Alligator mississippiensis: one gene and its partner. Each later gene encodes a partner of the first gene's protein in a complex. Links are inferred from orthologs where the notes say so. Each region holds a gene or a part of one and is shown in the gene's direction. Other genes may lie near its edges.

Region 1 (8,248 bases):
GTCCAGGAAAATGACATCACCCTCAGCTCCCGCGTCCAGGCAGTGTGTGACCTGGTCATAGAAGGCTACAAGGTTTGTCAGGCAGGATCTACCTGTGACAAACCCATGCTGGTTTCCCCTCAGCATTGTTTCCCCTGCTGGGCCTGCACAAATGTGTTCTTTGATTATTTTCTCTAGCATTTTCCCAGGGATAGAGGTAAGACTGACTGGTCTAAAGTTATCCGGCTCATCCCTTCTCCCTTTCTTGAAAATGGGCACCACATTGGCCCTTCTCCAGTCCTCAGGAACCTGGCCGGAGCACCATGAGTGCTCGAACAGCTGTGCCAATGGCTCAGCTATGACACTGGCCAATTCTTTCAGCAGCCGTGGATGGAGGTCATCCGGGCCTGCTGACTTGTACCCATCCAGCTCCTCCAGGAACTCCTTAACTATTTCAGAACTAACTGTAGGTGGACTGGTGCCATGTGGACATCCGTCAATGATCAAGGTAGGGGAATTGGCTTAGTCGGTACTTAGAAATACCGAAGTGAAGAACTCATTGAAGAGCTCTGCTTTTTTCCCCTGTGTCAGCCACCAGCTGTCCTGATTTGTCCTGCAGGGGCCCTATGTTGCTCTGAGCTTTCCTTTTGCCCACTATATACCTGAAGGACTTCTAATTGTCCTTGATTGTTGAAGCCAGCCTGAGCTCAAGCCCCACCTTGGCCTGTCTGACTGATTCCCTGCAATAGCACGCCAGGGAGATATATTTCTCCTTGGTGGCTGCTCCCTGTTTCCATTGCCTTTAATTCTCTTTCTTTGCCCCCAGACTCTCCTGGAGTTCCCTGTTCAGCCAAGGGGGCTTTTTTGCCCCCTTACCTCCCTTCCTATGTAATGGGATAGACTCCTTTTGAGCCCCAAGGGGCTATATATATAAACTGTAATGTGCTTTTTAACTGATTAATTTACAGTCACATCTCTGCCCTTCACTATAAATTTATTTAAAACTAAAGTGGCTTCACTGGTGAATATGGAATATAAACTGGTAGGGTTTTGAGGGGACTTGGAAGAAATGATGTTCAGAGCTCAACAAGCTAAATGTTTTGTAAACTGACTGAATGGGTGGAATAAGGCTAATCGCTGTAAAATATCAAGGACTAAACAACATTTTAGGAGAATAATTCAAGATGTAGGCTGTAATCTTTAACATAAGCATCATCCCTACAGGTTACGCTAATGTAGATCACTACATCTACATGGAGTCTCAGGCCATGAACACATGAAAGAATAAGCCATGAGAGGCGAAGCTGTGGACAAATGAGTAGTCTGTGCTCAGCTACCATGAATGAGAAAATGCTTGTAGACTGGGACTTGGCAGCCAGGGTTTATTCTTTTCGGGTTTTATAGAGTTATGCATCTCCCAGTGCAATGAAAGATGTCTACCACAGTGCCATGGCATGATATGTTCCTAGAAATCTGCACAGAGCTTGCTACAGACCTATGGAAGAAGAGGCATTACAATGCAGCTGGGTGTCTGGGGCAGCTGCAACACATGGGGACAGCAGTGGTTCCTGCTGTGCCACTGGCATGATTGTGTGGCTGTGGTGACAGTGGTTTCTCCCTTACCTCCAAATGGTTGCCTGTGTGGCTGCCTTGGTCATCTCGCCCTAGTTATGCTACTGGAAGCAGAATAACCATTTTAGACCACCAATTAGGAGTGATAGAGCATACATTCTTTGCCCTCCCCTGTCCTCCTGCAGGACTTGGAGTTCATAGGAAGAGCGTTCTTTTACATAGATATTACTGCTAAGCCAAGTCAACCACTGCAAAAGATTCACTTATGTTACTGCAGAAGTCTGGGAAATTGCATAAAGGACCTGCAAAGGGGTGGGTTGGTGGAGGCAAAGAGAGACTGGCCCAGTGATTGGAGTAACCACCTGTCTGCAATTATGACAAACGAAACAGACACCTCATTCTAGTGACAAGATAGCTCACTGGCAACCTACTCTGAGGAAACCCCATGAATATTGCTAAGGTGTCACAATGAAACACTGTCATGATAGCTCTGAATTGCACACAAGAAAACTGATTGCCTTCTTTCTGTCCTGGGCGTCATTGTGAATGGGTTTGCTATGTAGGCTCTTCTTGTGCTTTCTTTTTCATCCACACATGGTATCTCTGTGGCCATTGTATGCCATGGGCTCTCTTTTACCTTTTCCTCTTCATTCAATAGCTGTGATTTGCATGTATTGATCTTTCTTCATCTCTTCAAATTTGTGTCTTCTATGCAAATGGGCTGTTAAATTATCTGTAGTGGAAGGGTAACATGAACAGGAGGGAGAGCTACCTATGTACAAGTTAATGAGAAAACCACTAGAAACTTGATGAATTTGGGGGCATTTCAGTCTTTGTTAGGCTAAGCTCAGAGGCACAAATGAAAGACCCCACATTCCTGGGGGCCGGAGTGGTGGGCCATCAGGCCAACTTGTTGGTTAGAGGGGTTAAAGCAGCAATGCTTCCAGAAGGCACTGTTCTTACTGTCCCCCATGGAGTAGCTGTCACTGGGATGGTCATGTTGCTTGTTCATGCTGCTTCCAGTGCAAGATATTTTTAAGCAGTCTGGGCAATACAAAATGGCATGAACTGATTCAAAAGGCAAACATGCATTCCAGTCATGCCATCTGTGCATCTTTTCCTGATCGCAGTGACTCGGAGAGTTGTGGCCTGTGTAGCAGCAGGCTGGCTTGTGGTTGTTTGGGAGACCTTGGAATCTAGTTTGGACTGCTCAGCCTCCTGGCTGGTGAAAAGGTTCTGGCTGTCAGAGACCTCTTTGACCGTAGAAGCCCTTAGCTCCACATACCATGGTCTAACTGAGGTCTGTTTCTGTCCACTTTGATATGGGAAGCTTTTGAAAACATTTTGTCCAGCTACTCATAGCATGGAGCTGTGGCATAATTGGTGCCTGAGTGGTGGTTTGTGTCCCATGCCTGCTTGTAGTCACACTTGAGATCCTTGACTTTGGAGCAGCCTTGCTGGTGGCCCCTCTCTGGTACAGTCTGGTCTATAGACATATATGCTCCTGGGATTCTGGAGGTCTGAACGGACCCTTGACTCTCACCTTAGTGCAAGAACATTCAGGACTTCTGCATAAGCCCAATAGCTGGTGTGGTGAATAGCAGGCCCCCTTGATAGTACCAAGATCATAGAAAAGAAAGTGGTGCCAAGGGCCTTCAGGCTCTCGATTCCTGGAGCTTCTGTGCAGAACAAAGATCGAATGTGACCTTACACCAGAATCTAAGGTGGGAGGTGACTCCTGGGCACTCTGACCCCACTGATAAATCAGAAAGATAGACATGATGAAAGGAGGCGGTTGGCAGATTAATTGGCTGACTCTGGGAGGGGTTGTCTACAAACAAAAGCTAACCTGTGATGTTTGAAAGTGTTAGAAAATTGCCTGATGAATTTACTGCTCCTAAGATGAAGTCACATCACTTGTGAATGGGTTTGCTATGCAGGCTCGTCTTGCACTTTCTTTTTCATCCACACATGGTCTGCCTGGGCCCATTGTATGCTCTTTTTTTTCTTTTCCACTTCATTTAATAGATGTGATTTGAATGTATTGATCTTTCTTCATCTCTCCAAATTTGTGCAAATGGGCTGTTAAATTATCTGTAGTGGGAGGGTAACATGAACAGGAGGGAGAGCTACCTACATACAAGGTAATGTTTTCACAGCTCCTTTTCCTCTCATCAGGAGAGCTTGACTTTCCAAGCTTAACCCATGCATGCGCCTGGCCTGGGTGGTCAGTGGAAGTCTGCACAGGTGCAGGACAAAACACAAGCCCACGTATTTCCAGGATCAGGGGTGTGGATGGTAACGTTCTATTTAAGCACCAGCTCTTCAAATTCTTAGTCCCAGTGAGTTTGTGGTTACTCACAACTTTTTGCCTGAGACTTTAGATTTGATGTTTCTTAGGATATGGAGTTTATCTTCTTTTGTGGCTCTGTAAAGCCTCCTGCGCACCTGAGAACCCTATCAACCAATACAGTAATCTTTAAAATATGCCAAGTGAAATAAAAATCGAACATTACAAGCAATAGCAGCATGTGCTTTCATAGAGTAATATGAGCATATCTCAGGTGACATGAGAGCAGGAGACACTGCTCTGGGGCCCACACATCTAAGGAGAATAAGTGTTATACTTGAGACTTGTAACTGGCACAGCGTACCCTTCTTGTTCCTGAACTCAGATGACAACATATCCCTTTGCACTTAAATATTAGGAGACAGGTTTCTCTGTACTTCTATTATCCAACACCAAAGCCTTTGTTGCTAGTTAGACTGGAAGACTCTATTAAATGTTGATATTTCTCTCCTGGCTGTATGGACAAGTACTATGGACAGTAGCTTTTTTTGTCCAGGATGAAGAGGGGGGGTCTCTGAAGTGCTCTAGGTTCTTCTGCAGAGCGAAGTGTTTTTGGCAGTGGCAGGAGTGTTTTGGAAGGGGAGAGAGAGACGGAAAGAAAAGAGCGTTTGAAAAGTCTTTATTCCCCTCCCCGACCACACGCCGCCCCGGCTCTCGGCAGCTTTCTCGTCTCTAGTGTCCGAGGAGGTTGTCAGCTGGGAGCCCCAGGCGCGGGGTGGGGGTCCGGCGGCCGGGCTGCCCCCGCCACCACCCGGCCCCTGGCGCGCGGCGGATCTCGGGGCCGATCATTCAAAAATGGAGGATGAGTCCTCTCAGCCATTAATTAATAATGTAGCTCTCTGTCTTCCTGTGTGACACACGCTGGAAGGCACCGAGTGGCCAATAAAGATGTAGAGGAGAGAAGTGGAAAGCTCCTCCCAGCAGCTCTTCCTGATCGAGGGCTGAAGAAGTAGATCAAAAAACTTCCCAGGAGCTGAAGGGAAGAGCAGGAGCTAGGCAGCCCTCCGCACCACAGCCACCCTCTCCCCCCGCAGGTAGGCGGGCGGCAGGCAGAGAGCCGACCCCGGCCACAGCCCGGCGGGGGGCAGGGGACGCCTCGCTCCGCGCCGGGGGGAGGAGGGGGCAGCCCGGCGGCAGAGCCCGCAGGCAGCGCTGCCTGGGCAGGAGGAGAAAGGCGGGCGGAGGGGCTCCTCCGCGCGAGGAAGGAGGAAGCGACGAGCGGCGCTCCCTGCCCCCGCCGCCGGGCTGTGCGGGGGGGGCGCGCGGGCAACTTGGTGTCCAGCCCGGCGCGCGCAGGTCAGAGACGGCGGCCGGCGCGACCCCGGGGCAGACAAAGCGGCGGGCGGGGGCGGGGGATCCCCGGGCCCAGCACGTTGTGTGGCGCGGGCCGCGGGGGGGCAGGAGCGCCGCCTCCGCCTGCTGCTCGGCGGCGTCACTGCCCCATTGTGAGGCGGCGGCGGCCGCCGCCGGGGGGGGGCGGGGAAGGAGGAAGGCTCCGCAGCTCCCCGCTCGCGCCGTCAGTCCCAGGCAGGCGGCGGCGGCGGCGCGTCGGGCACACAAAAGGCAGCGGGCTCCGCTCCGCTCCGGGCCGCCGCCGCCGTGCTCACGGTTCCCCCTCTCTTTTCCCTCCACTCGGAAGCGGGGCGATGCCGCTGCTGCACCGCAAGCCCTTCGTGAGGGAGCAGCCCCCCGCCGACCTGCGGCCGGACGAGCGCGTCTTCTACTGCAGGGTCACCAACGAGATCTTCAGGGACTACGAGTAAGGGCGGCGCGGCCGCGTGCCCCCGGGCCCCCCCCCGGCCCTCGGCGGTTGAGCCGCCCGAACGGCTGACACCTGGCGGGGGGAGGGGAGGAGCGGAGAGGAGAGGGGAGGGGATTCCCCGGCCCAGCCCGGCAGGAGGCACCCGCGCCCCTCCCGATGGCGCGGGCGGGGCCCGGCGGGGGGAAGTGAAAGTTTAGCGGGGCCGCGGGCGGGATTTGTCCCCCCTGAGCCGCGTGTCTGCGGCCGCTGCTAGGCCAGGCCCGGGGCGTGCAGCCGGGCCGCTCCCCGCGGGACGCAAACTGTCGCCGGGCCGGGCCGAGGCGGCGGCCGCGTGCGGGCTGACATCTGCCGCCCGCGCTATTGTTGGGGGCGCGGAGCCGCCTCACACTCCGGCCCGGCGGGACGCGCTGCCCCTTGGTGCCGCCCTCCCGGCGGGCCCGGCTCCGCCCCGCCCCGCGCCCTGGCCGGCAGCGGCCAACGCTCGCCTGCCCCCGCCCCGGGGGTCGCCGAACGGGACCGGCGCTTCCCCTGCCCCGGCCGCCGCTCGGGCCCTTCCTGCCGGGTCTGCGCGGGTCCCTCACACCCCCGCGGCGTGACACACGGGGCCTGTGGGCTTTTGCAGCAAGAATAAAAAAGAGAGACGGGGAAAAACAAACAAAAAACCTCCCACTGGTTTTCATTCCTTGTGAGCCGAACAGGTCCAAAGTGTTCCCGGGATTGCTCCCAAGCTGACCGAGTGTCTCCCTTGTACCTTTCCAGCAGGGTGTAAGACACGGACATTTCATGACCCCCTCTGCATCCCACAAAATATTTCGGAAGCTCAAATCCTCTCGTTTCTTTATTTATTTTTAATTTTTTTTAAGAAGCACAGCCTAACCAGATTCCTTCTGGGATCCTTTGCAGCCTGTGAAACCAGAGCACGCCTAAATTTCCTCATGCTTAGACTTGTTTTTCTTACTCAAATAGACATCACCAAATAAACTCAGATTAGGTAACAGCAAAGGGCAGTCATGTGGTTGCTGTCGGGGCAAAATAATGGACCAAGGGGGAGTGAAAATGCAAAATAAAGTTTCTTAAAAAGTTTTATTGCGCTGGGTTTCTAGGCAGGTTATGAGGACATAAAACATTGGAAACAAAGAGTTCATATCTCTGCAGAAATTTAAAAATTTCCTAACTGATGATACTTTGAAATTACATTTGTCACGGTGCCATTTTATGGTTCATACTAAATGAGTGCTGGTAGGGGCTGAAAATCAAGTTGTAGGTTTTTTGGAAAGATGCTTACTGGATCCAAGATTGAGCCTGTCTGTCCTGGGTGCCCTGAAAAGATATTGTGGGGATATCACTAACTCTTTGTAAAGCAGCAAGTTCCATTTGGGCTGGAGCTCCAGGTTAAGGGTAAACTTATCTCATAAATGCTTTCCATTCACAACACACAGAGCCATAAAATGTCAATGGATGGTGCACAGAGACCAAGGGTTGAATATAAGTGGACAAGGTTCTTTGGGTAAATTGGATTATCTTTTATTAGGCCAACCCAAACAGTTGAAAAAATTCTTCTTTGTAAGCTTTTGGGTTTAAATGCCCTTAGAATATGGGATTTCTGTAGTTGCTACACTCTCATTTAATAGTTCTCATTAGGTTTTTCTTAATGGAAAAACACTCTTCTTTTCTGCTCTTCCCTATCGTCCTGTCCATTTCTTTCCTGCTTCCTTATGCCTTTGTCTAGGCAGGGGAAATAGATCATGCATTGGGGTTTTTTTGGTTGTTTTAAAACAGGTTAACTTATGTCTTGACATGGTTAAACTTCAGTTCATGTACTGATGTCAAGCTGTGGCCATCCCAGGATAAGGGGGAGTACTGTGTAGCCTATGATCACTCACCATCTAGCATCTAGTTTAAGGTGTCAAACAGTTTCCACCAAATATGAAGTGGTATTTGAAATAACTAACATTTTTTGGGGGGGAAAAACACCTCCTTTTCTTATCCATGCAACACTAATTAGATTTATGCAGACAGAGTGTTCATGCTGTCTACAATTGCACTAGCTGTTTTCTGAAACTAACCATTATCTAAGGTTCTCAAAAACTGGGGAGGCAATTCTGCATCAGTTCACACTCTGTATCTGAAAGGTTAGTTTTGCAGTCATAAATATGAGAGCTTTTTTAATGCAAACTTGTATTCTGTTGAATTTAAGTAAATTTTAGGCATGTAAATAAATCGAGTAGGCTTGATTTGACTAGTAAGTTGCATGTATGTGCAGTGAACACCCCCCCACAGTTGTGTTTTCATATGCTTCAAATTACCACATATGCCTAAGACTTAGTTGGGTATTGTTGCATATTTGCATAAATTACAAAATTGGAAATGATCTAGTAGCAAAGTTACTTTTACATGACTAGCAGCAGTAGGGGAGATAAGATACTTCTCACTTTAGTATTCTTTTTTTTTTTTAATGAAGAGTCATTATGCCAGTATCCGGTGCATATAAGACTCAGTAGGGCTAATGTTTGGGAAAGAGAATTTCCTGTTGAGAACTTATTTCACCTTAAAGGGAAATAACCTCATAATTTTGTAATACTAGG
Region 2 (8,524 bases), on another chromosome or scaffold:
TCCATTATGCGTTGGTCTGAAGAAAATGCATTTTCAATTGGCTCATGTGGTGACAACTTACCGTATTAAATTGAACAAATTTGCTGCTGTTGAATGAGTTACGCACCGACCTAAAAGAGACTTGAACCACGTTTTTTAAGTTATTTAGTCAGTCCCGGTGGGTGCCTGTATACACTATACTAGGTTTGTGTGCATAGCTTAGAGCAATGGTTCTCAAACTTTTTGGACTTGACACACCTCTCCATAACTTTTGTGAACTGAGCAGCACTCAGTTTAAAAGCTAATTTATACTACCAGAGAGGCTGAGAAGTGCAGGTGGCAGACTGACCAGGCTGGAACAAGCTATCCTGGTTGAGAATTACTGGCCTAGAGACTGAAGACAAGCTATGTGCTTAGCCCACGTAGTGCTTACCTGACCTTAAGATAAGCAATCCTCATTAAGTACAGTGTGTTGGTGCTGTGATATTAGCAGCCCTGGAACTGATTAGCTTCTCCTTTTTCAGGGCTTCCAATTTTGTTTGGGAGCTGCTATGACAAGCCTTGAAAATAGGAGGAACTGCTCAGTTTCAGGCCCTCTAACAGCACAGTAAGTACCTTACCTATCCTCAGTCCTGCAATACTAACAGCTCTGAAACTAACTCACCCCTGTCATCTTCAAGGCTTGTCATACTAGTCCTTAGGCTAAGAACAGATGTCAGATTTCTCCTAGACAACGCCTTTTATTCCGGGATCCTACAGACATATGAGCTCGCTGTCAAACTTTAACTTCTGTTTTTACCCTTGACTCTTTGTGGTACAGTTAACCCTGTGAAATATCCAAGATAATTCTTCTTAATTTACACTATTCATTATTTTACTCTGATAGTGTTGGAGTGATGTTGTAGCTCAGCGTTGTCCTTTATTGGACTAACTGCATGGCTGGGATAGCCTTGGACAAGGCTAAGAATACACTGCATTCGTCTTTAGGTTACTGTGACAGTAATGCCAACTGCTGCCACAAGATGTCATGACAAGGTAAGGCTCAAGGAACCATACAGAGAGTTAAACAGTAAAAACAATGCACATAGCATCATGGTGAATGATTGTTCACACCAAATGTTTTACACAAAACAAACACCACGTCCTTATTATAGAACAGATATCTATTCAACATCTTTATCAGCGACTTGGAGGTGGGTGTGGAAAGCACGCTGTCCAAATTCACGGATGACACAAAGATGTGGGGAGAAGTGGGCACGCTGGAGGGGAGGGACAGAATCCAGCTAGATCTAGACAGGTTACAAAGGTGGTCAGGTGAGAACAGAATGGAATTCAACACAGACAAGCGCAAGGTGCTGCATCTAGGGAGAAGGAACCTGCAACATACCTATAGGCTGAGGAACACCCTTCTCAACAACACAGTGGCTGGAAGGGATCTTGGAGTTATTGCTGACTCCAGAATCGACATGAGCCGCCAATGCGAGGAAGTGGTCAGTAAAGCTAACTGCACCAATGAAAACTGCACCATTGTTCCTCTTCCAAGTATGATTACATAAGTAGGTGCATCACAAGCAGGTCCAGGGAGGTGATCCTTCCCCTCTATGCGGCGCTGGTCAGGCCGCAGTTAGAGTACTGTGTCCAGTTCTGGGCACCGCACTTCAAGAGGGATGTGGCCAGCATTGAGAGGGTCCAGAGGAGGACCACTTACATGGTCAGGGGGTAGCAGGCCAGGACCTATGAAGATAGACTAAAGGGCCTGACCTATGAAGATAGACTAAAGGGCCTGAATGTATTCAGCCTCTACAAGAGAAGACTGAGAGGGGATCTGGTGTCTGTCTATAAACTCACCAGGGGGGACCAGTGGAAAATAGGTGAGCCTCTGTTCCCCCCAGGCACCACCTGGAACTATGAAACAGGTTCCTAAACTGTAGTACGTGTAACTCTGGCAAGACATCTCTGGGGAGTACTCAGGAGAAATTGTATAATGGCAGATTTAATTTTTATTTTAATAATTGACATTTAAGGGGTTAAAATATAAAATGTATGTGGTAAGGTTACGTGGGCCGCTGGTAAATCTGGAAAGGGGTATAAAATAAAAAAAAGACTGGGGAACCTCTGCCCTAGAAAAGTTAGTCTCATGGGACTGGTTGTGCGTGGTTACTAATTGTATAGGAGACTTCCTATTCCATTGTATAGGAGACTACAATGTTGCTGGAGCTATACTAATGACTCAGATAGTCACCTGGCATGGCATTGCAGCCTAGAGTTGTGGCAGAGATGCTCACTCACATTAGGTAGGTGCTTGGATTCATTCATTCTCAGAGTTTAGCCCTAGTTTATTGATTGTAGCTCAAGGCAGTTAATTACATTGTACCTGATCCCCTGCATTTTCTATTTAGTATGATCTTACACTTCCATTCCTACCTAAAACTGAGGTGTAGCATGTTTGTATCCTGCAGATGAGATGTGGTGGATGAAGATATCACTATGGATCTCTTACCTATGTCACACAGGTGATGAAGCCACCTGTCCGCCCAGCCTCAGAATAAAGGTGCTCTAGAAATGCTCTAGAAATGGACACTCCTCCAGAGAGGTAAACCGCACGTTTGAAAGAGCCACCTGGATACCACGTGAAGAACTGCTGCAGTACAGAAGAAAAACACCCACAAATTGCACACCGCTGGTTATGACATATCATCCATCCCTTGAACCTGTATGGAAAATCCTCAAAAAATTGCAACCCATATTAGAAAGAGACCCTATTCTTAAAAAGATCTTCCCAGAGCCACCCATCCTAGCCTTCAAACAAGCACCAAACCTCGCCAACCTCATCACCAGAAGCAAACTTCCTCAAGCCCAGAACACACCAAAAGGATCCAGACCGTGCCAGGACAAGAAATGCAAAACCTGCCAACACATCTCCACCACCCCCACTATTACTACACCCCACAACAGAGCCATCAGCATCCCAGGATCTTACAGCTGCACCTCCAGAAATGTAGTATACCTCATCCAATGTACCAAATGCCCTGATGGAAGATATGTAGGAGAGACCAGACAACAACTGCACACCAGAATGAACGCACACCGGAAATCCATCAAAGACAGAAACACCCAATTACCGGTGGGGGCACATTTCTCACAGGAGGGCCACTCTCTCAGTCCTGATCCTCAAGGGAAATTTACACACCACTTCCCAGAGATGAGCCTATGAGCTCCATTTCATCAACCTGCTGGATGCTAGAGATCATGGACTAAACAGACACTGGATTTTTGATACATTATAATCTGCCTGGCAACTGACTCCCCAGCCCAGCCCAGCCCCTGGCTTCTTCACTTTTCATCCCATCCAGAAAGAGCACACACCAACTGCTGCAGCTTCCTTAGTCTGACGAAGGGTTTTTGAACCTGAAAGCTTGCTTAATAACTATTCTCCAACCATTTGGGTTGGTCTAATAAAAGATATCAGATTCACCCAAGGAACCTTGTCTGCCTATGTCCTTAGACCAACACGGCTACAACCTAAACCCCTAGAAATGCAAAGTATTTATCATCATTAATTTATCATGCAGTGTCAGACTGCTCCAACCAACGATCATGGACCGTAATTTTCTGGCAGCACATCACCATGCATGTTTATCGGTGCTTGGAGATTATGGATGAAATCCTGGCTTTAGTAAAATAAACGGCAAAACCCCACTTGATTTCAGCGGGCTCAGAACCGTGTTGGAGACCCGAGACCCCTGCATCGCTTCGTGCTGGGTGCGTGACCACATCCCTCCTACAGGCCGTCTAAGCCCAGAAACAGTTTAGCTTTGTTGCACAAATGGCTAGTTTCGTGTCCCTGGAGGCTTTTCCAATATACCTCAAGGGAGAGTCATACACACTCAGGCTGGATCCATCTCAAGTTTATTTGTTTGCAAACAGATCAACAAGGGAGCTCAAAGCCCAAATCCGAGTCGAACCCTAGCCACGCCCGAAGATACATTTTGATACCTCTCATGAACAAGATCCCATTGTGGCAATCTGTGATTTGCTACAGTTTTCTACAAAGTTTACGTGCAAAGCAGGCAGTAACTAATCTGTGTTCCCACAGGAATCAGCCTTATCGTGAACCAAGCATTGTTCAGACTGTGCTCTCCCCCTAACAGGCCCCCCACCCTTCCTGGCCCCGCAGTGGTGGGGGAGAGAAGAAACAATTTGCAGTTTACAGTTCTTAGCCGTGAAGCCTTTTGTGTAATGAGGCAAGACATTTTTGCAATAGCTTGAAGCACAGGCCCCTGCAAAGTCACACGGGCCAGGAGCGCCGAGTAAGGATCGCGCGGCTACCTGCGATCAATGCAGACCAGCCACACACACGAAGTCACGATCACAGGACAAAAATGACTACCAAGCTGGAAAGCGAGCCGAGCAGCTACATAAAGTTAGTGCTTGAAAACACGTAACAACTCCACAGCTGGTTTGGACCCAGGTTTCATTGGACTGTGTAGCAGGTGAGACACGGTGTGTTGCGAGGGGAGGGGGGGAACACCGAAGAATGGCCCCAGGGCACACACGTGTCTCAATGCCGCCCTGCTCCGCTCTCGATGCTCATCCGGGACGCGCATGTCTGACCCCGACTGGGCTCAAACCCCTCCGCGCGCCGGAGGCCGGGGGGGGGGGGGAGGGGTGAGTTCCTGAGCGCCCCGGTGCATCTTGGGACGTGTAGGCCTTCTCCCGCCGCGCGGGGGGAGGAGGAGGAGGTGGTGGTGAGGCGAGCGGTGCATGCTGGGACTCGTAGTTCTCCCTCCCGCCCGCGACGGCGCAGCACTACAGCTCCCGGCGGCCCCCGCGGCGCGGGGCAGGATGGCGGCGCGGCCGAGCGGCGGCGAGAACCGGCTGGTGTCGCTGCCCCTGTCCCGCATCCGCGTCATCATGAAGAGCTCCCCCGAGGTGTCCAGCATCAACCAGGACGCGCTCTTCCTCACCGCCCGCGCCACGGTACCGCCCTCGGCCCGCCCGGGGGGGACATGCGGGGGTGTGGGGGGAGGCAAGCGTCCGCTGCGGCGTGAAGCGGGGCCGGCGCGGGAAGGCGGCTCTTGACGTCTCTCTTCCGGTGGTTTGCAGGAGCTGTTTGTCCAGTACTTGGCCTCGTACTCGTACAAGCACGGGCGAGGCAAGGAGAAGAGAGCCCTGACCTACAGTGACCTGTCGCACACGGCCGAGGAGTGCGAAACCTTTCAGTTCCTCGCAGGTGCGTGTCGCCGCGGGCGGGCTGGGGGGCAAAGCCACGGTCTCGCGCACGGTGCTGCCCCGTGGCGTCGGCACACATCGCGCGACGGGGGCCGTCTGCGCCGCAGTACGAAGTCGCGGGACGCGCTGGGCCGGCGTCTGGGGACAGTCGGCGCCGTCGAGCGCCTTGATGCCTTGTCACAACGGTCGCGTCACGGCTGTCCGAATGAGGAGGCCGAGCGACGGGAGGTGAAGCAGCCCCAGTTACGGCAGTGTAAGATCTGGGTGTAAAGCCCAGAAGCGCTGATGCTCGCATCGTCTGCTTTACCCACCAGGCCACACACCTGTAAATCCGCTTAGAGAAGAGCAAGGCAGGCGGTGGGGGAGGCTTTTAGGAAACGTACCAGCTCAGAGCTATGAATGGATGAGCGTTCGATGCACAAACGCGTCTGAGGTGGGAACAGGACCACAAACGTTCACGTGTTGCTCTCGGACTTGGGCGCTTTGGGGTTAGCCCTGCTTGTTCATAAGAACGTGCTAGGATGGTGGTCTCATTCTAGGCACCTTTTTAGCAGTGTTGCCTTAGCAAGCAGTCCACTTTCCCATCTCTCGAGGTCATCAGCTGTAAGAGCAGTGTCAAACTTACCCCGGGCCAGATCTGAACTGCAGGGTCTCCCCCCAGGCCAGATCTGTGGGGCCAGCAGCCAGTGTGGTAGGGTCACATCCAGGCAGCAACGTGAGTCCAGGGCTGGGTGGTGGTGGTGATGGGCTGCATTCAGGCAGCAGCACAGAGCTGGGGGGCTGCTGCTGATGGCCATGTCCATTGGGGTCCACGGACCCCAAATTGTGTGGCGGGCCATACGCCCCAACTTCCAGGAGTCCGCCGGGCTACCAGCAAGGCTACATGAAATAGCTCCACGGGCTGCATGTTTGGCACCCCTGATCTATAATGGTGTCCTGGACAGATCCCTAAATGGAGCATAGAGGAATTGCTTGCAAGGGATATACCTAGAGCAGGTAAACCTCATATCCAGTGTTGTTCTACGGTGCAAGTAACTGCTGACCGTGGCAGTGGCAGCGTCCACACCAACTGCAACCGGCTAAAAACAGCATAACAGGTTTCAGAATTTAAACCTCTATAATTAAGAATCTCTCTCAAAAGAAGACAAATTCTAGCGTTCGAGCCTTAATTGGATGAAAACTCTCTACTATTACGTTAGCCATTGTTCCTCTTCCAAGTATGATTATTATAGATTGAAATAACTCATCTTGTTGTTCCCTAGACTAAAAAGTTGCATTCTGTGAACTGTGCAGCTAGTAATTAGTGACTTTAAATGCCACAGTAATAACTGTCCTAAATATAACTGTTCTAAATGAGCACAAAATCAGCAATTCTGCCTTTCAGATATCTTGCCAAAGAAGATCCTAGCTAGCAAATACCTGAAAATGCTTGAAAAGGAGAAGAGAGATGGAGAGGTGAAGGAGGAGGAGAAGGAAGAAGAGGAAGATGAGAGTGAAGAAGACGCCGAATCTTAAGGGTTTATCAGACTGTCTTCATATTCGGTCTTTTTCCTGTTGTATAAAAGATGTTATTTTTTTGTGACTGAGAATCCAACTGCTGGATTTATTTGTATGTGAAGTCACCTGTTTTCTATTTTTGTTTTAAGAAGCTTTATCCAATGACACACACACAGCCTGAAGGACAGAATTATCCCCCAGATACACACACACACAAACACACACACACACGAGGGGAAGAGTTCCTACAGATCTGGAGACAGAACTAGCTCATTCTTTTTAAAGTAACTTAGACAATCATTACCACATTTCTTGTGGGCAGCCCTCATCATCCAGGCCAAAGGTCTCTCGCGTTCTCTCTAGGTGGTTAAATGGATCCCCTCTTACAGCTGATGCTGTTGGTAATCAACTTGAAGAGGCTGTATATACTCTATCAATAGTATTTGCCTTCTGCCAGCCAAGAAGCAGATAACTGGTTCAGATCTCTATCCCAGTTCTCCTATATGGGTCTAGAACCTACCCATGGATCAAGCCCTTAAAAACCAACATGACTTCTGCAGTGCTGTCCAAATCTCTTCCTTCCTCTAGAAGGAAACTGGATACAGGGCTAGACTAGTTCAAATTAGTGGTGTAGGTCTGTGGCTGTAGTGGTGATGAAGAAGTACAAGTGTTAGCAGGTGGTGTAAATATGTGCATCTAGAACCTGTGTTTTCCTCAGCAAGGTCTCTACTTTTGCAGCATACTGTTTATGGTATTTAACCAACACGCATATTGTGTGAAGTTTAGAGGTGGTTGTATGGGAAGAAAATAAGTAGTCCTTTTACCATGTCAGTGGTAGAGCTGGAATATTTTTGTTACAATGAAATTGGAAACAGCCCTGTGTAGAAAATTTTGTACACAATTTTTTAAATAAATGTTTTATAAAATGTGGAATTTAATGTAGAGGGTCCTGACAGCTTTCTCATCTGTAGGCTTTCCAGTTTATCTTTGGTGCACAATTAACATAATTGTCCCAAACTTGCTGATGGGCAAACTTAATGAATGTGGATCCTGTTGGAGAAAAAAAAAAGACTAGCCATGAGTACAAAGTAATGATTGAGTGGGAGGGGGGAGAAGGGACACTAGGAATTCACACTGATCTTCCAAATAGTTTACATTCTTTGTTGTGGGTCAGCTTCAGTGTGTTTCAGGGGAAACGTGCCTGGATAAACCCTGGCCATGCCCCTGTAAAGAAATGTTTCAGTCTCATCTGCCCTCTTTCTGGCTAAGACGCTTACTGGAGAAGTAGTAAATTAAGTTACCATATTTCACAGTGTATAGGTCGATGTGGTGTATAAGTCCCCGTTTTTCTGATCTAAAAAGTTAAGAAGACGTATACACCAGAACTATGAAATTCCTAACTTTTTGGATCCGAAATACGGGGTTAACTTATACTGCCCCTTGCATGCCCTCACTGCAGCCGGGCACCTGAGGGGTGAACATGTGCTGCAGCTCCGCTTGCAGGGGATAACAAGGCTGGGCTTGGCGCTTGGCTGGCACAACTCCATCCTCTGCCAGTGGCGCTGCCTGGGCCTGGTACCACTTGCAGGGGATGGGGCTGCACCAGCTGAGCGCCAAGCCTGGCCCCGTCTGCTGCGAGCAGTGCTGCCAAGCACTACGCCCAGCACCATTTGCAGAAGACAGGACTGGGAGTGCTGCTCAGCTGGTGCAGCCCCATCCCCTGCAAGTGGTACTACCTAGGCCACAGCAGCCAAGCATGGAGCCCAGCCCCATCCTCTGTGTTGCTGGGCTCAACGCTCGGCAGTGCCACTCAGCA

The links.
Region 2: BAZ1A (region 1) and CHRAC1 share a complex: the UniProt entries of both Homo sapiens proteins name them as parts of the CHRAC ISWI chromatin remodeling complex. The link is inferred for Alligator mississippiensis from reciprocal best matches to the Homo sapiens genes BAZ1A and CHRAC1.

The regions. Positions count from the first base shown.
Region 1 is NC_081825.1:256,448,909-256,457,156, reverse strand, and holds the start of BAZ1A (bromodomain adjacent to zinc finger domain protein 1A), read left to right. Parts: upstream 1-4,844; 5' UTR 4,845-4,935; intron 4,936-4,945; exon of another isoform or gene 4,946-5,197; intron 5,198-5,389; exon of another isoform or gene 5,390-5,540; 5' UTR 5,541-5,547; coding exon 5,548-5,660; intron 5,661-8,248. UniProt on the Homo sapiens protein: Regulatory subunit of the ATP-dependent ACF-1 and ACF-5 ISWI chromatin remodeling complexes, which form ordered nucleosome arrays on chromatin and slide edge- and center-positioned histone octamers away from their original location on the DNA template to facilitate access to DNA during DNA-templated processes such as DNA replication, transcription, and repair.
Region 2 is NC_081826.1:7,832,153-7,840,676, reverse strand, and holds CHRAC1 (chromatin accessibility complex protein 1), read left to right. Parts: upstream 1-4,792; 5' UTR 4,793-4,824; coding exon 4,825-4,959; intron 4,960-5,085; coding exon 5,086-5,212; intron 5,213-6,595; coding exon 6,596-6,726; 3' UTR 6,727-7,646; downstream 7,647-8,524. UniProt on the Homo sapiens protein: Forms a complex with DNA polymerase epsilon subunit POLE3 and binds naked DNA, which is then incorporated into chromatin, aided by the nucleosome remodeling activity of ISWI/SNF2H and ACF1.